2 linked regions of the Alligator mississippiensis genome follow. The protein of the gene in region 2 interacts with the protein of the main gene of each other region in a pairwise test. Links are inferred from orthologs where the notes say so. Each region holds a gene or a part of one and is shown on either strand. Other genes may lie near its edges.

What was found.
Region 1: the proteins of CACFD1 (region 2) and LDAF1 interact in binary tests that used the Homo sapiens proteins (3 or more experiments, as listed by UniProt). The two-hybrid records come from large-scale screens. The link is inferred for Alligator mississippiensis from reciprocal best matches to the Homo sapiens genes CACFD1 and LDAF1.

Annotation. Positions count from the first base shown.
Region 1 is NC_081836.1:46,230,919-46,242,929, reverse strand, and holds the start of LDAF1 (lipid droplet assembly factor 1), read right to left. Parts: upstream 4,829-12,011; 5' UTR 4,738-4,828; intron 4,259-4,737; exon of another isoform or gene 4,140-4,258; intron 3,898-4,139; 5' UTR 3,829-3,897; coding exon 3,757-3,828; intron 2,603-3,756; coding exon 2,434-2,602; intron 1,494-2,433; coding exon 1,355-1,493; intron 1-1,354. UniProt on the Homo sapiens protein: Plays an important role in the formation of lipid droplets (LD) which are storage organelles at the center of lipid and energy homeostasis. In association with BSCL2/seipin, defines the sites of LD formation in the endoplasmic reticulum.
Region 2 is NC_081835.1:60,949,176-60,961,703, reverse strand, and holds the start of CACFD1 (calcium channel flower homolog), read right to left. Parts: upstream 6,021-12,528; 5' UTR 5,789-6,020; coding exon 5,665-5,788; intron 14-5,664; coding exon 1-13. Other genes in the region: ADAMTS13 (A disintegrin and metalloproteinase with thrombospondin motifs 13), read right to left, coding at 9,667-9,825, 10,158-10,342, 10,628-10,804, 11,635-11,781. UniProt on the Homo sapiens protein: Transmembrane protein which mediates synaptic endocytosis and fitness-based cell culling.

The sequences.
Region 1 (12,011 bases), on a different chromosome or scaffold from region 2:
TTCAAGTTTCTTCAGCTTTAGTAATTTAAGGAATTAGTAACAGTAAAAATGCCAAGGATGTTGTAGGACTTGCAAATTTAATGTCAAATGATTGAAACCCGACCCATTGCTAAAACTGTACCTGAGTTTCTAGAAAGCTGAGGGAGAAATAAAAGTTTTAGTAGATAAGTTTGTTTTCTTTTAAAAGAAAACATTCCTGTAATTGTGTTTCTTCAAAGTGGTTTAACTCATTTCTATTTAGCACATTCACACCCTTAAAATCTAAAGCAGTCTCTGAACTTTGCTAGGCCATTACCATGTAAAGCATTTTAACTGTTTGTATTTACTAATGCAGAATGAAGTTAATCAGGGTAGAAACAGATGTCGCTTTGTGCAGCCATACAAATATTTACAGTGGCACAAAGAGACAGCAAACAGGCATCCATCATGCCATAAGGCAGCAGCAATTAAAGGCAGTAATAAATTGTACTATTTATTACAGCCGACATCGATTTGCTTTATGACAGGAGAGTGCAGACAGCCCAAAGCAGCCTGTGCTCTCCCACTGCCCTGGGCAGGCACTTCCTGGGCTTGAAGAGCCTGATCCTGTATACCCTGCCAATTCCTGCACAGAATTAGGCCCCTCCAGACCAGGGAGCACCTACTTAATTTTACCCACTTTCAGACACGTGCCCTTGGCAATCTCCATGGCGAGGCTCTGGAAATAGGAACCTCAACTTCCGTTGCTTCTACAGACTTGCCTAGAGAGTGCTGGGGGTATGTTTCTGCAAGCAGGGAAAGCCGGGACACACTGATGCAGTCCCAGGGCTGGGGCTGCCAATTAGCTGATTGGCAATCCTGTCCCTGGGACTTCACCAGAGTATGGAACTTGCTCTGCTGGGGGCCAGGGGTTGAAACTGCGAATCAGCTAATTGGAAGCCCAGCCCTGGGACTGTACTGGAGTGTCCTGGCTTAATGTACCCCTGACAATCTTTGGTAACCCCAGAGATTGCTGGGGGCATGTCTTTACAAGCAGGGCAAGATCAAGAGGTGGGAAAACGGGTGTTGTGTGCTTCACCCAGTAAAGCAGATCAGCTGTGCTGGGACATAGCCACTTCACTGGTGATGTCTATTTCTAGACTTACACAAGACACACTTGATAACTATTTCTTCCTCCTTTTCCTTACAAAGAAAACAGGGTCTGAAGGTCCCAATATTAAGTCTTATCAGGGTAAACAGAAATACTGTAATATTCAAAGCTGATGTTTATTATTACTCCAAGCAACAAATTATCCACTGCTTAACATACAAGGTAGTATGTGCAACTACAGTTAAAATGTGACATTATTGTACAGAGTGAAATGTTGATACTTACTTTGGAGTGTACCAGTAGTTGATCAGAGTTGTAAACGCTACATAACAAATACTCATTACTCCAGAAACTGCCAAGGAAAGCAGCCCTAGGCCACCCAGCACACAAAGAAGAGCTATTCCACCTGCTGATATTACAACACCTAGCAAGGAAGAACCAATTTGTTACTTGCATGAATACTGTACATACTATTGTACATCAAGTACATATTGAAAACAAAGAAAGTATTCGCTGCAGGTCTACTGCAATCCTAAATTCAGACCAGCAGTAATTTAAAAGTGCACATTAGTTCTGTTCACAATGCAGGTCAAAGACCCAAGGTCCCCAGTTGTATGACATCCCCTAAAGGAGAGGCAGTCTCCCTACAGAGTTTTTCTCTGATCAGTCTTGAGGAGTGATGTTTGTTTTTAGCAGGCTTTGTTCAGGTCTCCAGGGATCGAAGGAGGCTAAGAGCTTCAGCACAGAGGCTTAGCATCTCTGGGACTCAGACATGAATCCTCTAAATCTGCATTGGCCTGGACCTCCCTAGCTGTCCTTCTCCACCATGGAAAGGTACTACAGCCATTACAGCCATGTGCATTCCTCTTACACTAGATGCTGGCCTCTTATTTGTTCTCCCAGGTGGATCCTCTGGCCCACAGTGACCTTTCCTTGGATTAGGGTGAAGTAAATGATTAGGCCCACATAGCTGGTGGAAGACAGGGTATGTGGAGGTATACTTCAGAAGAGAAGTTTCAGTACATGCTATCTGTTATCATCTAAAAGGAAAAATCCCACACAACATGCTCTTCGTAAATCTCCTTGCAGGCCAGAGATGAAAGCTATCCAAGGCAAAGATAAGAGGTTTAACAGCATCCGCATTGGGATTAACTGTACCCAAGACAGGGAAATCCTATTTCCTTTTTTAATTAGATTATTATTCCAGCATTAAGACTTTTGTTGATGCTGAAAGCTGAGAACTTCAGAAAAAATCTTTTAAATTCAGTTGGATCAAGAGCTGGGCATGAGAGAGGGGAGAGAAAGGAAAATCCTGAAAATAAAAAAAGGCTTAAAAGGGGAGGAAAAGAAAATAAATAAAATACCTTCCATGATTATAACTCCAATACAGGCCATGACAGCTGTTGCAACCACAAACATCAGAAAGAATGCAACAGGAATAGCAGAAACTGCAATAAACACCAACAGCGACAAGGCAACAAAAGGATGATCATCTAAGTATTGGCCAATTCGAGAGTTCATAAAAGCAACAACCTGTAGGGGATTGAAAGAAGAAAAGTTGAATTAGATTAGGTGTTTGCTTCATAAATCTTTTATGATCTTAAACTACTTTAATGAAATTTTGGGTACAATAATTGTGTAAGTACACAAGTGATTAATTCGTGTTATAGGCAATGGCTGCACAATGTCAGAAGCACGGAGAACCGTCTGGCTTGGTACATATTTGCACTGTACTCACCATCCTTGTATACGAATGCCTTACAAATTCTATCACGAGTGGCATATCAAGGAAATAGTTTTGCAGCACATGTCAAAGCAGATGTGGAGATATATAATCTATTTTGCTAAATCAAATGTATTTTAGTACACCTAAATTTAGAAGCTAGAACATAATGGTACTTGAAAACAAAGGGGGAAAAATCAATGTGGAAGCAGGAGTCCTCACTAATAGCATAAGATAGTTTACAAAAGATATTCTGTTAAATATATGTGATACAGATGAACCATGCTATAAATAACAGTAAAAAACTAACAGTAAATGAAGTATGCAAGTCTATAGCGTATGGGGTTTTTACCAACTGTAATTTTTAATCCAGTGATTAACATTTGTTTCAATGTTGAAAGTCATATAACAGGCCAGGTACTAAGGTCACACTAAAACAGGTGCAAAAACAATTTGTTTTCAGGGACTATAGGTTAGCAGCAGATCCATAAATTGCCCTCCCTTGAACATTAAGGACTCCACAGATGGATCTACACTACAAAGTTGTATTGCTTTAATTATACTTATTATCTTAATTATATTTATATAGTTAAAGAGATACAACACGTCTTAAAACTTCATACTACTATATCTGAATTCCAAATTTATGCTTCAAGTTTCCTTGTATGTAAAATGGGGATAAATGTTTACTGCCTGTTGTGAGCCATTCAGATGTTACTTTAATGAATCCCATAGAAATGCTTTTAAATTAAAAATACGTTATGGTGGCTTGTTCCTCCCCCATGCCCTCTTAAAAAAAAAGAAAGAAAAAGAGGGGATCTAATTTTCTCATGATGAAAAATTCAAATGTGACTTTTGTAATTATATCCTTATCATAAAATGAGGTGTGACATCCAAGCAAAGACAGCTGGAGAAGCATTATGTAAACACACTCTATCAAATAATAATCGAATCCGAAACCCACATTGGAGTTGCTGTGGATGGATTTCATCATGAAGCGCCACTGCTTCTGCAGCTCTTGCATTTCTTTTGACATGTTGGAGCCTTCAGGGTTGTTCTTGAACCTTCTTCTGGATGATCAGTGCCAGCTTGGCCATTCGACCTCCTTAACAATTGAAGTGAAGTTACTGACAGGCTTGTGTATAATTAGAGGAACAGTATTTTCTTATTTAAATCAGAGGAACGAGAAAGACGCTGAGCATGGATTTCAGCGCGTCCTATAAAATCTAGGCCACATATTACAAAACATTTCAATCCAGTCATTCCAGTTCCTCAACACCTCACTTACATTGCCCTCAAGTACAAAAAAATTACATTTTTCCCCCTGAATATAAACATGCTTCTTGCCTTCTCAGTTTATCGGTTCAATCTTGTAATTATTCATAAAAAAAAAAAAAAAAAAGTGCCCAGTTCCCCAAGGTCCAAAAATTTAAGGGGGGCAGCATCAACTTGAAGACCACTTTTCGTCCTGAAGTCTGACCTGCGGGCGCTTCAAGCAGCGCGCTTACAGGGAACAGACCAGACACCTCATGTCGCAGCTGTGGGCCCTGGCGCTACAATCAGGCTCCCAGCGCGGGTTTCCCTTTTGCTCAGGGGCTGCAACAAGGAGGACAGAGACAATGGAGGCGGGAGGAGGGACCCTGCAGGCCGCTTCAAGGACCTAAAACTGCGTTTATGGCTCGTGTTAAACCACACCCAGCGCCTGCACCCCCGCCCCGCCTGTCCGCACGGACACGAGCCCCGCGCCCACCGCGCCAAGCGGCCGGGCCCATCCAGGCCGGGGCGGGGGGTGGAGGCGGGCCCGCCCCGAGCCGGTTTAGTCGCGCGAGTCGCCCGTGCGCTGCCCGCGTCCCCCGCGGGAGGAGGCCCCAGGCCCCGCGAGGAGGAGGCGGAGCGGCGGCCGCCGCCATCCCCCCCGCTCCCCGCGGGCAGCGCCGGCTCCTACCTCGGCGCCGGGCCGGGACTGCTGCAGCCGGCGGCGGCCTGGGCAAGGCTGAGGGAGACGCGGCCTCCTCCCGCTTCCGCCTCCGCCTCCGCCTCCGCCTGCCCGCGCCGGCTGCTGCGCGCGGGGGAGCGGGCGGCTCCGGCCCGGCAGGGGCGCCCCGCGCGCCCATGGCCCGGCGTGCGACGGGCTCGGCCCCGCCCTGGTGTTGCCCCTTGGCTTGTCCCCATCCCCCACTGGGCCCTGGCACCAGCCTGTGCCTCTCCCTGCCGCCCGGGTTGGAGGTGCCCATCCTTGCCCCGAGCCGCAGGGTGCGTCCTGCCTGCAGCACTTGGCCCAGGGCAGGTGCCTCTGGGATGTGTTGTACAGCGCTTGGGAGGATGGCAGCTCTGGCAAGTGGGCTGGAGAGAAGCAGGTCGATAGGTCTGGAGGGGAGGATCCCTGCGGTGGGCTATGGCTTCGTCCTGCTGTACACACTGGGGTGAAGGAAAGCCGCCCGCTCCGTTGCGGGGGACACCGGACGGCGCCCTGCCAAACAGAAGTGCACGGAGTAACCCCGCTCAACCAGTCGAAACTCAGGAGTCGGGTTCCCAGAGCAGCATAAAGCGATGAGACTTTTAACAACGAACGCAGTCAGGATTTATTTTAGTAGTACTTTGGTTGTTGAGCCTTTAGGGAGTGCTGATCATGTCGAGTGTTTATCTACAGCACTTAAGAGTACAACGTTATTTAAAAAAAAAAAAAAGTTTAGATTCCCACCTTTTTATAAAGCACCAGGATATTGTAATGCTGATATAGCGTGGGAAGTTTTGGCTACGGGAGTTTGTATGCTATTGTAAGAACAGACTGGCTTGTACCGTAAATCAATTGTTGTTTGCTGCTGGGTGTCCACGGGATTGCTTGCTGAGTTACGTGTCCTGCAGCTACAGGAGTTTCCGCCTTTGGAACAGGAGGGTGTGAGAACTCATTCTTCGGCTGCTGTGAATTGATGGCAGCGAATTGGTGGTTGTGGCAGTGATTCTCAGCTACGGCATAGGGACACCCAGGGATCCTTTGAAGGATGTAGATGTGAGGAGATAAACAGGTAAGCACAGGATCAGGCACAGTCCCTGCTTGGCTGTTCCCCTGGCCTTGCTGCCCAGCCCCTTGGCAAGGAGGTAAAGCACTGTAATAAATAAGTTAGCTTTTACAACAGGGTGCTGTTCACAAAATATATGGAGGGGCGCTCTAAAAAGGTTGAGAACCACTAAGTTATGATATATAGCAGCAGTTCCCAAACTGACAGATTGCGCACCACCAATTTAAAATGATACAACCTTAAGTACCACCAGCAAATTTTTGTCATGTAAAATAATTATAATAAATCTGTTAACATGTACCACTGACAGGTTGTCTGTAGACCACTGGTGGTACGCATACCACAGATTGGGAACTGCTGGTATACAGCATATTGAAATCGTAGTTACTAGGTGGCTAAAGATCATTAAACCGCTGTCGCGTGCAAAACTCGAACCGCTTCAGGTAGATTAGCTCCTTTTGCTGTACAGAAATGTGATGTTGATGAGACTACCTCAAGAAACTAGAACATTTTTTTCTCATGCTTACTTTTGATCAGCCTTTTTAATTGGTGCCACCCAATTAAATATTAATGGTTTCATTAGTTTTTTAAAAAAGGGGCAATGGAAATAGACTAGTGTGTGTGGGGGGTAGATTAAAAAAAATCTTCAGTAGTGTTTAACAGGATGCTCTGATGCTTGTTTGTGTTAAGTGCAGGCGAACGGGACAATGAAACAGATGCTCTGCTATCTGCAACTGATCAGTTTAGTTTAATTTTCCAAGTTGAACGACATGCAAAAGTAAGTAATAACCCAGATGGCAAAAAGTAAACTTGCTGTTTGAAATTATTTCCATTTTGTGCCTTGATCCTGCTCCACTGTGGATTGGGGCATTAATAATTGAGTGGATTATTAGTAACATAAGTAAAGGCCTTTTTATGTACAGTTCTTTAAAGATGCTCTCTGCATGTTGGAAAAAAACAGTGGATGTTGTGTGTTTAATTTGGATTGCAACAGTCTCGTTAAGGTAAAACAAAGCTTTATAAATCATTTCATTTGGAGGTAAATGGAACCTCTGCCCTTAGAGGCATCTACTGTGTGGTATTTCACGAGTGAAAACATTTGTCCTTCTGGTGAATTTGTAGGATGAGTCTCCAACTCAGCTCAGATTTTTGTCCATTGGTTCTCTTGGGCTCTGGTCCCAAAGATACAGAGCAAGAAACACCCAGAGAGAGGAAAGCTAACAGTAAGAATCTCAGTAAACAGTATAATATAGTCTCGCTTGGGATACTAGAGTATATACAATTCTGATTTTCAGCTTTGGTTTTCCATTTTTATTTGTTTATTTTTGGATATTTTTAAAGCAAGGAACAAAATCTCAATCAGTGAAATTGACTGTCTTCACAGGCCCTGATATAACCCAAGGATAATGGCACAGTAAACTGTAATGACCCTATTGTGTTTAGATTGATATGGAAACTTGAAATGGTAGATTATTTCCAAAAAAGTGAAGTAACTGGTGTTGAGGGTCTCATACATCAAGATGAGACGTATTTTACAAGTATTCACAATTGTTCTTTTTGCTAGAAATCCTTTTTTCCAAAAGAAACAACTGCTTTTTGCTTTTGCAAAACAATAAAAAATAGTTTCTGTAATTTATTTAACTTTCATAGACATTAGGGCTGGAAGGGACTTTGCGGGATCATCAGGTCCAGCCCCCTGGCCCAGGGGCAGGAAGTCAGCTGGGGTCAGATCACCTTAGCTAGATAAGCATCCAAACTTTAAATCTTTAAACCTCTTGGTTGCTGTATGCAGAGGAATAATAGTTAAAATAATTATGTCTTAATTGAGATTGTCCTGTTTCCAGCATTAACCTGAGTTCTCTGTGCTGAAGTTAACTCCCCTCTACTTAGGAAAGCAGAACTAAAAGTAGTCATGCAGCAAAACAAACACCTGAGTTGCAAAGTGTGACTGGATTAAAAGTAAAGTGTTTGCACTAGCCATCCTGTGTTGTCCTCACAGAAAAGTTGAATTGCCACTACCATGAGCTGCAGCCTTGCCTGAGCTTCATCTATGCCAGGTAAGGTAACTTGAGTTCAAAGCCCTGGGTAAGATGAGCTAGACATCTCTGTGTGTGCATGGGAGTTGGGCCAGTAAAAACAAGCCTGTTACCCAGTGTTAGCAGCCTTTTGCCCGAATACAAAAAACAGTATGAACCCAGCTTCCTAGACATAGGTACTATGAAGAGGCGGTTAAAAAGAAAAGATGGCTTGATGCGCAAAGGCCTCCTCCTACAAACCATCCTCATTCTCCAAATTCATCTACAGGGAGGTCATAAAAGAGAGTCTCAGTCCTCAGGGTAAATTGAACTGTGGTCAATACAAAAGCAAAGGGGGAATGCACCACCTTTGTGCTATTGATTCTGCTTCATGTTGGTGGCTGATTCAGCCCTTGTAAATTTGAGCAACCAAAGGGGACATCCCAGCAGTTGGAGGTGGCTGGAATACAGCTACACTCCAGTAATCCACCATTTAGCTTGGTCACATTCAGATAATGGGAGTGGGGGGCAAGGCAAGTGATACAGAACTGCTTTGCTAGCTCTGCTTCCTGCGGATTCCCCAGCTGAATAAAATGGTTGTGCCTCCTTTGGACCAGCAGTTCAAAGAGGTTGTAGCACAAGGGAGAGGAAGGTCGCTGAAGTTTTTACATCCTGATTGAGCATCTTTTTACAAGATATATTCTAGTTCAGCCAGAAGCCATCAGCTTGATGCATGCAGAAATTACTGAGGGGAATTTTTTTCAGGGTATCAGAGTAGTTGATTATAATTGTTTCTTTTAGCCTCAAAGTTTAAGAGTCAGGAAGACTTTGCTGTCAGTTTGACTAATGTAAAATGTTAGGGGAAAAAGAGCAAGGACAGTCAACCGGAATCAGTTGTTTAATGGGACCCTGGCTTAGACATAGTCATTTAATGTATTCAGACAGAAATACAGATGACTTGCATGCCAAGGTGAACTAAAAAAAATCAATCTTTATTTTTCAAAAGAGCATTCCCATTCAGAATAATTGTTCTAATGGTCACTTTTGCAGGGTGCAAAAAGAGATTGAAAGGTAGACAGCAAAGAGTTTGTGTGGGACGTCTCCCTTAGGATAGTTGAACTGCATGGGCAAGACTGGAGAGCAGGTACAGGGTGACAGCAACAGAATTTCGACTAGGCGCAGACATTCAAAAACCTGGAGCCTGAATTGATTCAATCTTTGCAGGTTAGTCTAACCTGGCTAGATTGAACCAGTTTGTGACTGAAAAGATATTCCCTCTGGATTGAGGAAATGCAGGCACATGCCTGAAGTCACTCAGGGCACGAGCTGGAGGGCGCAAGAGCAGCGTTTCCCAAGCGGTGTAATGCGGCATGTGCTGTCAGGCAAGTCCAGGTGTGCCGCAGCATTTGGGGCTGAAGCCACGCCCCCTGCCTGTCTAGAGCTATTCCCCCCCCTCCCCCGCCTGCTGCTGCTGTGGACATGGACAGACTGGGAGCATAGCTCCAGCCCAGAATGCCATCTGGGTGGCCGTGTGTCACCCACATGTCGCTGTCTGGCTGGCTGCACGCCACGCCCCCACTGTTGGTGTCTGGATGGCTGTGCATTTCCCCCTCCTGGTCCGTGTCTGGCTGGCTACGTGCCCTCTCCCCACTCTGTGTCCGGTGTGCCACGGTGCTTTTTTATTTAGGTAAGTGTGCCGTGGGGCATAAAAGGTTGGGAAACACTGCACTAGAGTGCATCCTTGGCTTCAGGGAAGGTGTGCTGGAGGGGCGTGGCCAGCCCTGGTAGTAGGCTGGAGTGAACTGGCCAGGGAGGGGATTTACTTCATAGTATCATAGTAGCTAGGGTCAGGAGGGACCTGAACAGATCATCTAGCCTGACCCCCTGCCACAGGCAGGAATGAATGCTGGGTTCACAAGACCCCAGACAGATGATCATCCAACCTCCTCTTGAATATGCCCAAGGTAGGGGTGAGGACCACCTCCCTGGGAAGTTGATTCCAGATTTTGGCCACCCTAACTGTAAAATATTGCCTTCTGATCTCCAACCTAAACCTGTTCTCCATCAGCTTATGACCATTGTTCCTTGTCACCCCGGGTGGTGCTGGGGAGAAAAGAGCTCTGCCTGTTCGCTGTTGATCTCCCCTGATGAGCTTGTAGGCAGCCACCAGGTCCCCCTTCAGCCTCCTCTTGCTGAGGCTGAACAGGTTCAGGTCCTTCAGTCTCTCCTCGTAGGGCCTGTCCTGCTGCCCTCTCACCAAGCGGGTGGCCCTCCTCTGAACCCTCTCCAGGCTGGCCACATCCCTTTTGAAGTGCGGTGCCCAGTACTGGACAAAGTACTCCAACTGCAGGCTGACCAAAGTCACATAGAGGGGGAGTATCACCTCTCTGGACTGGCTTGAGATGCACCTTTGGATGCATGACAAGGTATGGCTGGCACCTTTGGATGCATGACAAGGTATGGCTAGCCTTGCTGGCTGCGGTTTGGCATTGGCAGCTCATGTTCATCTTGGAGTCAATAATGACTCCGAGATCCCTTTCCGCCTCTGTGCTTTCAAGAAGGGAACTCCCCAGCCTGTATGTATGCTGTGGATTCCTTTTCCCAAGGTGCAGCACCCTGCATTTGTCTATGTTGAACCCCATCCTATTCTTGTCTGCCCACTTTGGTAGTCTGTCTAAATCTGTTTGCAGCCTCTCTCTCCCTTCAAGCGTGTCCACCTTGCCCCACATCTTAGTGTCATCAGCAAACTTGGACAGCGTGCTTTCCACCCCCTCGTCCAAGTCGCTGATGAAGATGTTAAACAGTGCGGGCCCGAGGACCGAGCCCTGGGGTGTACCCCACTGCTCACGTCTCACCAGGTTGAGTACAACTCGTCCACCACTACTCTCTGGGTGCGCTCCATCAGCCAATTTTTTACCCATCTAACTGTGCAGGCATCAATGCCGCAGTCACTTAATTTATTAATGAGGATGGGGTGAGAGACAGTGTCAAAGGCCTTCTTAAAGTCTAGAAAGACTATGTCCACAGTAACACCATCATCCAAGAATTTAGTTACTTGGTCGTAAAAGGCAATCAGGTTGGTCTGGCAGGATCTGCCTTTGGTGAAGCCATGCTGATTGCCCCTGAGCATGATCTCCCCTGCAGGCCCCCCACAGATATGCTCCTTGATGATCCTCTCCAAGATCTTCCCGAGCACCAAGGTGAGGTTTACAGGCCTATAATTACTTGGGTCCTCCTTCCTCCCCTTCTTAAAAATTGGGACCACATTAGCCAGTTTCCAATCCCCCGGCACCTGGCCAGATGATCACGAATGCTCTTACAGCCGGGCCAAAGGCTCCGCGATGACCCCTGCCAGCTCTCTCAACACCCTTGGGTGGAGGGCATCTGGACCTGCAGATTTAAAAATGTCTAGCCCTTCCAGAAGATCCCTAACTACATCTGCACTGACTGAAGACTTGATAGAGCTATCCCCAAGATTGTCCCTACCTCTGGTAGGTGGGATATCCTGGTCCCTGTTTAGGAAAACAGAGGCAAAGAAACTGTTAAAAGTATCAGCTTTCTTGTCTGGCTTCCTCCCTTTTATTGTCTGGCTTCCTCCCTTTCTTATCTGGCTTCCTCCCTCCCTGTGCCACGGACCCAAGCTGGGGTCTGTTGGGTGCTCCCCCCTCACTGCCACAGCAGTAGGGACGCAGCCAGATGCCATCCGGCATGGCCTCCTGAGGCAGAGAGGGCAGGGAAGGGGGTTATTCCTCCCTCTACCCCCTCTGTCCTCAGGGGACTGCAACAGGGTCTGCCTGTCCCGGCTGCCACAGCTGCTGCTCGCTCCCTGCACTGGGTGAGTGGCGAGATAAGCTTCCTCTTGCCCCACTCCACGCCAGATGGAGGGGGGAATAATCACCATTCCTGCCCCCTGCCTAAGGGGCCATGCTAGCCGGACTCTGGTTGCGTCCCTGCCGCTGGAGCAGTGAGGGGGGAGTGACCATGTTGGGGGCAGCAGCCCTTGTCCTGTTGTCTGGGGAATGCGAACCTCTTCCTGATGGGGGGGACCATGGGTGGGGGGGCCAGAGCTGCCGCTGATTATGCAGGGTGAATGGTGGTACCTGGGCTTGGAGGTGGCCATAGCTCCCCAAACTCCTCTAGCACCACTGCTACTGCTTGCCCTTCACAGTCCTCAGCAGCTTTCC
Region 2 (12,528 bases):
GCAAGCGCGCAGGCTTGAAAGCAAAGAAATTAATTCCAATTAATACGAAAACTGAAGCGCTGAGGACACAGAGGCGACAGTGTGGTTTAGCACATCCACCACCAGACAGGCAGACAAGAGAATGGGCCCTGACACAGACCGGCCGGGTCACCTTGGGCAAGTGGCTGCATCTGGGTTTGGGACAGCTTGTGGATTCATATGGCCAACTCGCCGTGTTTCCCTCCCAGCCCTCACCGCTCCTGGCATCTCCCCTAGCTCCTCTGGACACTATTGCAACACATTGAAGAGCAGCACATATACATCCACACTAAAGGGTGAGGGGCAGAAGAGTTTTGTGGCCAGAATAGGAGGCAGGACATCTTCTCAGACCATAGCAGTTCCCTTTACTCAAGACTTGGGGCCTTCAAGCCCAGGACCCCACTGATCTTCTCCTTTACACAGAAGACCAGATTGTTTGCTTCAAAATGAAATCACTTGAAAGTAAACTCTGGTTTTATTTGCGGAGGAATCTCTAAATCTCCTGTACTTTGCCCCTGGATAAAGAGTTACCTGCAAGCAGCACAAGATCTTTTATTACAAGAAAACAGTGGAGTGAAAAATAGCCCCAGTCCGTGGCAAAGCACAGGCAGCCACAAGGATGTGCCAGCAAACTATGGACCAAACTGTGCGCTCAGCTCTGCACAACGGCACAACCCCTCTCGTTCCGCAGGGATCCTCCAGGCCAACACTGGGTCATCTTCAGCCCTCAGCTCCACCCGTCTCATAGGCATGGAAGCATATATTTGACAAAGTGAGACCCAAAATAACACTGGAGGCCTTGAATGTGTAATGCCAGCAGCTCTGAAGCCAGCACTAGAGCACGCACTTACCTTGCAGCTCATTAAACTTGCAAAAGTTCCCTGCATCCGATACTACCATCCTCCTCCGTTGACCGCAAGAGCCTCCAGTTATTCACAGGAGGAATCTGAGCCCCGGGTGGGGGAGGGACAGTGGGATACTGCAGCAGGACCAGCTCAATAATACGTAATAACCTGACAAAACCTGCAACTAAACAGCACGGACTGCAAAGGTGGCATGGGCAGGGGGAGTGCTGGTATGCCTCCGGTGCCTACATAATGCAGGTGACTGGGTCATGTATGTCAGAACACAAAACCATCTCAGAACAAGGTATTTCAATAGAGTCCATGTTTGTCATTCCCCAAGTGGCTCCAGGGATGGAGAAGGGAGACAAATTTGAGGGCCATCGCTAGTGAAACCTCAGACATTCATAGGAGCATAGACAATAAGGGTTGAAGGGACCTCAGGAGGTCACATCTAGTCCAGCCCCTTGCACAAAGCAGGACCAGCTCCAACTAGATCGTCCCAGCCAGGGCTTTACCTAGCTGGGTCTTAAACACCTCCAAGGATGGAGACTCCACCACCTCTGTTCCAGTGTTTTACTACCCTGCTAGTGAGAATATTTTCCAAATATCTAACCTTGCTGCAACTTGAGCCCATTGCTCCTTGTTCTGTCATCTGCCACCACTGAGAACAGCCCAGCTCCATCCTCTTTGGAAAGACCATTCAGGGAGTTGAAGGCTGCTATTCAATCCTTCCTCCGTCTTCTCTTCTCCAGACTAAATCAGCCCAGTTTCCCCAGCCCCTCCTCACAAGTCATGGCCCTCAGCCCCCAAACCATTTTTGTTGCTCTCCACTGGACTCTCACCAATTTGTCCACATCCTTTCTGTAGTGAGGGGCGAAAAGCAGGTTAAGGATCCTTTGTACAGACAGCGATGAAGTACCTTGCCTGAATGCACACAGCAAGTCAGCGGCAGGGAGGCCCACTCCTCCAGTTTGGGGACAAGAGCGGGGTTTAGGGGTATTCAGTCCAAAGATGGCAATCGTAAGATGTGAAGCCAGGATAGCAGGGAAGGCAAAGGAGACATAGGGACAACCCTTTCATAGTGCTCCTCACCCTTCAGTCTCCAAGCACTTCCTAAAAAGAGGGCAGGGTGATTTGCTTCATTTCAGAAAGAGAGTCGGGGGGGAACTGGGGCACAGAGCTCCAAGTACCTTGCCCACGGTCAGCCAGCAGGCCCTGGACTTCACTCCCACTGCAAGGAGCAGCACAGGCCAGGTTCATGGGGCCAGCTGCTGCTCTGCAGGGAAGGACACGGCAGACAGCTAGTAACCTTCCTCCCTGATCTTACTGGATAAATGCATGAGCAGAAGAGAGGGGCAAATATCTGAATCAAAGTTTTGCCCCTAAAGACAAGCCCATGACCTTCACTAGGACCTACGTAAGCCATCTCCAAGCACTTCCAGACTAGCTAGCAACAGGGAGCATGTCACCCCTCACTGAAATGCAGCTACCTCTTGGGGAGAAACATGGCAGTGGCTTAACAGCTGAGTGTAACACCAAGGAACTTTTTAGGCAAGGACTTTTAGAAGGATCCCAACTCCAGTCTGAACCACAGGAAGAAGCAGAACGTCTTTTTCTCAACATAAATCTGGGCTGACTGCCGCGAGTATCGCTTCCTTCCCTGCATCTTTCCAAAGACATTAAAAATTAAGGGCTCTTTTTTTCTGGGAACCTAAAAAAAACTCCACGACTCTCCTAAGACAAAGTCTACGTGCAAAATATTTCTGTATCCCTTCCATCGAGGCCAAGGGTCAATCAAGCAGTAGCACTGACCAAACAGTTCTCTTGTTCCTGAAATCAGCACGATGGGTGTTTTGCATTTGCTGGGAACTGAGTCAGTGATATGCAATCATCGAAACACCGCGCACCACGGCGTTTGCCAACAGCCACTGAGACAGTGGTTCAGTGACCTTCACTGTCTCCATTTCTGCAGCACAGGAGCCCTCCAAAGCACCCCAATGTGTTATTGCCTTACCGGAGGTTTACTGAATCCTGCCGGAGAAGTCCAAATGGAACCGCAGCCATCAGCTCAGATGCCTTTCATGGTGCCAGGCCACAAAGAGGCTTTTAAAGTAAGGGCATGTCCGTAATAGAGGAGTCAGACCATTCGCCTGGTTGGCTATTTATTTAATCTCTGTCCCGGGCTGAGTCACTAAGAAAACTCAGCAATAAATGTGCAGCTGAAATGGGACTCCTGGCAGAAAGGCTCACTGCACCTCACAGCCCACGTGGCAGGCCTGCTCTCACGCATATTCTATGGTACTCTCTGCCCAAGGTTTCAAAGTACGGTACAAAAGTATCTCAATGAAATCACCTCTGTGTTACAAAGTGACCTGCCCAAGTCCCACAGTCAGTCAGTGGCAGAGCTGGGAATAAAAACAGGGTCACCCAAGTCCCTCTCCAAGCACCAGGCAATTCTGTCTATAGTGTATTTTTGGCTACAGCGTATGAGCCAACCTCTGCCCCGGCATCAGCAATCATGACTCCACTGAAGTTACAGCAGGTTATGCCAAGAATGACTGTGGCCTCATCAGGATACAATGATCCTTTTAGCAACCCAGATACAACCAGTGAGCATCCTAGGGAGTGGACTCAACACTTGGCAACCCATAAAAACTGGAGATATAGCCCAGTCTTCTCCAGCAATTGTCGGTGTGACACTCAGGGAGGAAGACCCTGAAACGAGGTCAGCGGTAACACAGAGGGCTCAGGGAACCACTCTTCCTGTTATAGGCCAGTTCTTGAATCCTGATATCAAATTGCCTTTGAGTTGCTTGGTGGATTTGTTGCTTGCTGAGCAAAAGCGCGAGAAGAAGCAATTCCCAGAGGTTCAGAACAATATCCCCACCTGCCTGGTTGCACAGAAAACCTTGGCAGTATAAGCCAAGTGGGCCCCAAGGGCTCGGGCACCAGGGCTAAGTGTAGACAGTCAAAGAGCACAAGGCTGAATCGATTCAATCTTTGCAGGTTAGTCTAAGCTGCGTAGATTGAACCGATAAGCAAGTGAACAGACATTCACTTTTGCTTCTGGAAATGCAGCTACACGCCTGCAGTGGCCCTGGCCAGAAGCTAGGGGGCGCTAGGGCATGCCACCCTGCTAAGCTGGAGCAAACACCTTGGGCCAAAGTGAGCCACCCACCCTGCAAGGACTGGGTTTTCAGGGGAGGTGCAAAGCATCCTGGGATGCTGGGGAACTGAGAGTCAACTTGAATGTGGAGGGGATCCAGGACAGAAGTTCAATAAACCAGTTTAACCTAAATCAGTTAAGTCAGACACTACATCCATCTAAGTTTACCTTAAACCGGTTTCAGCCATTTTGAAAGCAGTTTAAGTGCACTGAGTTTCTATTGTGTTACAGATTTGAACCGGTTTCCAATCACTAATACTGGTTTACGTGTAATTTCTGTCCCTGTCAGAGGTAAAGGGAACAAACCCAACTCATGATTTTTAAACCGATCTCCCGACCTGGAGTTGGGTCACTAGTCTGAACGGCTTGGGGAGTGCAACAGTGTCGGCGTATGGGAACCACAGCCTGTTGGCTCTGCACCCTTCATGGCCTTTCTGGGGCTTTTGACCGTGAGCTGGGGGAAGAGTCCAGCTTCCTACCACCCCAACCCAAGAGAGATTCTCCAGCCAGCTTCCTGGGGACGTGCAAGCACCGGGGGAAGCAGCAAGGGCTTTCCACTAAGCCCTGTGCACTGGGCCAATGTCCCCTGATAGGAACAATTCCAGTAAAACCTTTCACAGCACTAATAATTCAGCGCCAACCGGTGTGGTGCCCTGTGCAGCCCGATCAGAAGCCCCAGCCTCCACCAGGAACTTTCTCGGGTCTACGTTAGGCATTGGATCAATGCAAACAAAAGAGACTGCAAAAAACCTGCCTCCCAGTAGCACCACACACAAGGGCAGCTGCAAACAGGCAGCAGCTTTGCCCAAGCAGCTCCAGACCAGGAGCCAAGCAAGGGGGTAAGGGCAGAGAAAGGAGTGAGATGAAATGTTACAGCGAAGTGCACACCGCTTCGATGAGAAACACACTCACTCTCCCAGAAATGATTGGGCTCTGCGCAAGAATTGCAGACAGTTTCCAGCAGGAGATTGGACTGGAAACACGATGGCCCCTTACGGCTCGGAGACCTATTCGTTTTGTCCGCTTCAGTAGGAAAAGAACAAACCAGCCCTTCCGAGGGAAAATCCTCCCTGCTCGACCGCACGGAAATACTCTTCCCGCGCTACGAGCAGCAGCAGCAACGCAGAAAATACCTGGAAATCAGCAACCTGGCAGTGGTAAAAAGAGCCCAGGCACCAGACTGGAAACACTGACAGGGCCTAATCCAGCCACCTGCCTGCAGCACCCTGGGCACCCCCTTTTGTATCACTGCCCACCCCCTCATGCAGGATCGGGGCCTGGGACCTTGTCGGGGTGGACACAACCGCAGAGACGTGTGTGTAGCACAATGCTGTTCTTGCCTGCAGGGAAAGTGCTGGGCAGGCTGGACGATCCCAAAGCGCAGCCCACGCCCCCGTCACTGCCTGCTTCTAGATCCTCGATTGTCTGAGACACAAAACTGCTGCTGCAAACTATTGTTTCGCCCCCAGCCCCGGGCACTCGTGTGTACACGGCTCCCACCCTTGTGCACACACCTGAGCATGCAAAACAGGCTGCCCTAATGCACGCCAGTTCAGGCAAGCAAAGGAAGCAGGATGGATTAGGAACCGCCTGCTCCAGCAGCGCCCTGGGAAGCGAGGGCTATGGGATACTCACAGATGCCCCCGACGACCCCGGCGATGCGGCACAGCCACCTATACCACCAGGTCATGCCATCATCGTTGCTGGAGTCAGCTGGGGCCGGGGGGGCCGGCTGGAACTGGTCCTCCTGGGAGCTCATGGTAGCCGGCTTCCTCAAGGGCCAGGAGCTGCCCCGCTTCCCACCTGAGGCAGAGCAGTGGGGGATGCTCCCTCCCTCCTGCCCTCTTGGTGACAGCCCTTCACAGGGGGGCCGCAGCTGCTGGGCCCCTCACCACCACCCCATGGAGCCGGCCTGGCCCCCGCCTGCCCCTCAACAGCTGTTCTGTTCCTGCTGACAATGGAAAGTCTGATCCACGTCGCCCTGCGCGCTGCATTGTGGGGCCCCCCTCCTTGGGGGAGGGCTCTGATGTCAGCCCCCTCGTTAAGCAGCCAGGCAGGCCGGGCCTTGGCTCTACATATTCATGAGCTGCAGCTCCCAGAGGAGGGGCTCGTTGCAGGTCTGCGTGCGTACACGGGAAGGCAGGCGCGTTTGCAGGCAGGCGTGCGGGGAGGCCTGATCCGAGCGCACCTGGGTGGATGCCTGCTCACAGGTGAGCTGCAGAGGGAGCAGCTGTGAGCCCCTGCATGGCCACACAGGAGCTCCCCGGTGCCAACCTGCAGCACTGCCGTAAATATGAGCCTGGCTGAAAACCCATGCACAAGGCTCTGGGAAGGCTTCCCAGCTGTGCAGAGACTGCTGTGGTCATTGCTGCCCTTCTGCTTCACGACGGAGGCTGAGTGACTTGCCCAGGTCCACTCAGCAGGTCTGCGGCAAAACCAGCAGAACCCAGGTGTCTGACTGCACGGTCCCCTGCATTCATCACCAAGTTGTCCTGTCTGGACAACCATGCGGGAGAGGCAGAGGGCTGGGCAACAGGCCTGTCAGACCAAGCGAGTGCCTGCACAGAGATGGAGGAGGCCCGAGGTGCGGTCAGCAGGTGTGGGTTGCTCTTTGGTACAGTGCCACCCCCTTCACACCAACTCTTTCCAAGGGCAATAAAAAGTTCATTGACTCCCAGATCTAAGTTCAGTCATTTGGAAACAGGGTCCCTCCTTCAGGATTTAACCCGATGGGACAGTTTTGTAAAGCTGCTCTCTCTTGTGAACTTGGATCTGTGTGTTCCCATGGGGCTTTCACAATCTCCTCCTGCTCCCGTGGCTGCTGCATTTCTTGGGTAAACAAGGGTGTTTTAAGAAATGCAGGGAAACCAGTGAGGGCCCTTTCACGTTAGCCACTGGGGCCTTTGGCCTGTGCCTTTGAGCTGTGGTGTTGCCAACTCCTTCATCACAAGTCTCATGCTATCTGATGGTTTCTTAAGCCCCAGCTCCTGGTATCAGCTCATTATATTAGACTCTCAGCGTTAAGCACATGTCATATGTCAGAGGCAAAAAATAACATCTCCAATGCTGTTTCTGCCCAAAGGCCATTTTGTACTCCAGTCTCCAACTGCTCCAGAGATGATCTTCCTTAATAATGATGGAGGAGAGAGATAAAAAAAGGAAAGGTTTAGCTCTGAGCAAGAGAACAAATTGCAACAGCTGAGCACCAAAATCTCAGGTCTCAAGGGACGTTCTGGTGTTCGATGACAATGTTCCAGTCACAGGTCAATGTGTGATGGCAACAGATAGATTATTACAATCATGCAGAAATTAAAGCAATGAGGCACTCTGGGAAAGATTTAGATTAAAGAGAGAAGGCCAAGTGCATTCAGATGAGGAGTGAGATCCTGGTTCCATCTCAGTCTATAGGAAAGCGTCCTCTGACTTCAACAGTGCTGGTTTATCCCCTGATGTTGTGGCAATCTACTTGTCAGAGACTCCCTCAGGTGGGAATGTAATAGGATTGGATATAGTGAAAATGGCCTTGATCCTCCTAGATTACTTGGTCTCTGCTGTAACATACTGATTTTCTTTCAGGACACATCCCTTAAGTTAATTCCAGTATATTTCTCATTCCCTAGTCCTAAAATAGGTATATAGTTTGCAAAATCTCAGACAGGTCCTACAGGGAGAGATACAGTTCTGTAGTTGTAGTCCTAAGAACCATACACAGTCTCTTTTGGACTCACAGGACTGTAGTGTGTCTAGTACTTGGAACCAAGGCAGGTGAGGAGGAACTGGATAGTGCCACTATTGCAGCTTCCATGCCTGATATGGTTACAAAACAGACTAGGATGAGGATACTCTCTCACTGCTATTGAAGCTCTTGGGTAAACAGGGCATGCTATGAAATGCAGGGAAGCAGATGATGAATCCACATGCTGGGCACCTTTAACTCCAACTACAATAGGGGTGTAGGTGTTCAGACCACTTCCTTTCTGCCTCCTCTCCCAGTCACTGAGTGTAAAGCTGGAGGCTAGTGATTGGAAAAAATCCAGGCTTAACCACTAGAAACAGGCACCATGAACAGATGGGAAGCTGTGAATCTGGGGCTTTGAGAGGGCATCACAGAATCCATTTGAAAGCAGACAAGGAGAGGGCTAAAACTCCCCAAGGGGAACATCCACATTTCACTAGGTATGAATGCAAGGTGCAGCCATTCCCAGCAGAGCTTCAGATCAGCACTGAAGAAGGCTGCTTTGCACAGGAAAGAGAGGTCAAAAGATTTCAGTGAGGTCAAAAGATTTTTTGGACCAAAACAAGCCCGAGGTAAGCAGGTTTTTCTGCTGAAGAGGATTCTTCTAAAAGCAAACTGGAATCTTACCCGACCAAAGACAAGGGTGAATTTATCATTGCTCTAAACCACTTTTCACTGCTGTTACCACTGATCATACACAGCTTCCAAGGGCTTTCCAGTGTACCACTGCACGTATTATTATATGTGCTGTAGTTTTGGAGATATTCATTGCTGATGTTCCACTGAGTAACCAGCCTTTCTGATGTCACACTTAATTTCCCTGCTAATTGCAGCTTACAGTGTCCATCTGTTACTCTCCATGGGGGTAACTTTCATTATCTTTAGTCTTTACCAAGAGAGGGCTTGTACCAGAAGTAAAATAGATAATGAAAAACAAATGTGCCACGTGGAAGGAAAAAGGGAAAACCTGAGAAAGGAGGATGCTCCTAAACTCTGTGCAGCTGACACACCAGCCCTCTCTCTTTTCCTTCCAACTTGCATTCCCCCCAGAGAAATCCCAAAAGCAACACCACCAATGACAGGCTGCTGAAAAGCCAGGAGAGTTCAGTGCACAGAAATGTGTAACACATAAGCAACTTTGTAAAGTCTGTCATCAATACAAAGCAGCCCTCTGAAACTTCTGGGTGGTAGAGCAAAGATGGGCCCAAAAAGCAGAGGTTGGATGCACCTGAGCAGGCAGATTTTGTCACCAAGGTTTTATTTTCCTAAATACCGGTATATGAGTGTTACTTCCAGACATACGAGGCCTTATTTCTGTTTATATTTAAGACCCCTTTAGACGGTGAAGTGTGTAAAACTGATCAGGTCCCTTAACACTGCTGGAGTGAGACCCAAAGCCCTAAACTGCATGCTTTTTCCACACTGCTCATTCACAGCCGTGGCCAAAATCAAAAATGCTTGTGTCTGACGGGAAAGTTTGTTCCCCTTCCCTAGCTGCTGTGATCTACGCTCCCATAAGGGGACACTGAACAGGAGGGGCCTCTTTCAAAAGGCAGCATTGCATCACATCACAGGAAGGAGATGTATGCAGCAGTGTCCCCAGCCCTTGGCTTCAGGGGACCCTTGGCTTAGTACTAGTTGGCAGAGGCTGAAAAGGAATCCACTGATGAGAACTATTTTGTAATATCTGGCATCTCTAGACCACCTTGTGTTCCAGGACTGCAAAGGTGCTTATTAACCGAGTGCTCCTAGGAAGCAGGCAGAGACTATTATACCTATTAAACAGATGGTGAAAAAGAGGTGGGGAAGTTCAATGATTTGACTGGAGTCGCATGGTGAATCAGTGACAGGGCTCTTCACTGCTCCCCTGCCTCTCTGGCAGAAACATCCCTGCTTCCCACTTATCTGGGCTCAGTGACCTGGTACTCTGCTCGGAAACTGCCGTGGCCTTCTGTGAAGTCATCGTGAAATTCAATTTCAGCCTGGCTCCCGGTTGACTCCCAAAAGAATAGCTGTTTCCCATGGAACACGATTGTCTTCATGGTGTTTACATCACGTATCTGAAGACAGAGGGGAATGAGTCGCTACTACACGCTTACCTGTATCTTTCCAGCCAGAGAAATATCTGTGCTGGGATGGGAGCCCTAAGGGAAGACTAGCCAGGGGACCTGGTGCCCTGTAGGACAGGATGTCGCCCTCAGCCAGAGCTGGATGCTGGAACCTACAGACCTCAATAGGATTAATTCAAGTCTATACTGATGCCATTGAGATCAGAATCTAACCCCATCAGGTTTGCAGTGAGCTTTGAACCCTGAATTTCAACACAAACTTGTGAGGACCTAAGAGGGGCACTGAGACCTTAGGTGTGCTTCACCTCAGCCTGGTGACTCACCAAGATATAACTGGAGTATGTGTGGTTGCTCTCAGGCCCCAGGTCCGTGTAGAGGGCACGAATGGCAATGCGATGCCGTGGGGCCACGGTGATGAAGGTGCGACAGGCCACTTGTCTTCTGGGGTCAGGAGACTCTACAGGATTCACGATTTCTCCTCGAGAGCCGAACAGCTGCACATCGCAGTCTGTGGGGAGGGAGGAGGAGAGAGGGCAGGAAAGCAGTTGGAGATCTGGTGGTCAGAGCAGCAAGCAGCGAGGCAGCAAGCAGCGACGCAAGAAAAGTAAATGTGTCCAGAAAGGGCATTTCAAATATGCATCTCAAGGCACAAGCAAGGCAGCTTATGTATCTCCATGGGTCTTACTACTTCATGAAGAGGTGCGTCCTCTCCATGGACTGCTCTTTGGAAGCCTATGGGCCTTGCCTTCATCACCCTTAATCTAAAGCAGTAGAGCAGCATCCAGCCACATACCTTGGTAATGCTTTTTTGTTGCAGCTTTGCTGTTGTACTGAAAAACTATGCCGTTCCCCAGGAACACAAGACGCTGTCTCACTATCAGTGTGTTGGTCCTGGTGCTGAGAGATGCCATGGTCAGCTTCCTACAGCCAGTCCGCCACATCAGCCGCCCAGAAAAGAGCACAATCTCTCCTGTAACGAATGGGAAGTGGGACAGGGAATGCTGTAACCTCACAGCAGCTTCCTGATCTAACAAACTGCTGGAGAAATCAATGTTATCACTTCACCAACTACTGACACGCAACCACCTCTGGGAAGAATGCAGTACCTGTTTAACAGTACACAGCCGCACTAGACAGCAGTTCAAGGCACACAGCGAAGAAAACCCCCATATCCAAATGAAATTCAAGGGGGAGTTTAATGAGGAAACTCTCACTGTTCACACTGGAATCTGGCAAGGAGAATGTAGCTAATGTCTTGGGCTAAAAAGGGTAACATGGGAACTTCAAGAGCCATGACTGGATCAGGACACTGGTTCTATACCTCACTTGAGGACTGGAACCACCAGGATCCAAAATTCATCACGACACTATAGTTTATTCTAACCTAATACCAGTAGCCCTGTTAATATATCTACAAAAGTTTGCACAGTAGCAGAAGTGTGTGCACTGTTTACCTATGAGACAGACTCTACCTGGATTATGAAATCTTCAGGGCAAAGTGAGAAAGTCCCACACAAGACATGACAGAATAAAGCAAGAAAGAAATCAGAAAAACATAGAAACAAAAAACACTGGCTTGCACAGTGCTTCTGGCTCCTATACCCAGGCTCTCATGAGCCAGAAGTAGCAAGTTCCCCAGCTGGGGACCCTCTGCTGAGAGCAGCCTAGCCCTGGTCAACCAGCAATGGGACATGCTGGACTGTCAGAAAAAGCATGTGAAGAAGTCATGAAGCAGCAGCAGGTACAGACTTGGGAAAGAGCCTGGCTAGTTTTCCTCCATGAGCCAGCTCTGCACCGTACCTGCACTGCAGTTTAAGGAGCTCTCTAGCACTTTGACTGTTACCACTTCCCCCAGGGGACGGCCGATGGTGACTGTGCAGTCATTGACCTGCAGGCCGGTCATGTTGATGACTCCCGTGGTGTTGAGGAAGAGCCTCCCGCAGATACCTGCACAACGCAAACAAAGCCAGAGGCCCCGGTGAGTAAGAGCCCCCAAAGTAACATACCAGTGCTAAAACATGGAGCTCAGACCCTAGGTCCCCTGGCATCTGCAAGGTAGTCTCTCACCAGCTCTTTGAAGGACTCCCATACCATGGCACGCATGACCTCCATGCAAAGTACACAGTGAGAATGTGCCAGCTCTGATGAGCCTGCCAGCCAGAGAACCCTGGAGACCCCAAACAGCCCAGCAAAGGGCATGGCAGCTCACACCTCACTTCTTCCAGGCAAGCCACCAGGGCTGCATCTGAAGGGTATGATCCCCAGGAGCCTGGCCATAAATCTGTGCCAGCTCTCGAGTATGGAGCAAACCTAAATCCCAAGGAGCTGCGTACACCTCCCTGCTGATCGGTTCTAAGGGGGACCTTCCTAGCAGCAAAGCCAATGAACAACTGCACTCAAAGCAGAGCTGCCCCATTCCCAACATCATGTCCATCCCCATGTCCTGTTACATCCTGGGGCTTCCATCCTACCACACTGGCAAGGAGCTTTCCTGTATCCGCAGGGCTTCATTCAGAGTCTATAACCAATATCATTGGATGTTAAATGATAATGAGTCCTAATTCTGGAGGATTAATTGAAACTAACCTTCTCTTGAAGTCCCAGAGTACTCCTACACTTCTTGCCTGAGTATGAGCTAAGTCCTGGAGTATTCCTACCCTCCCTGCCTGAGTATGCATGAGAACCAAGCCTTAT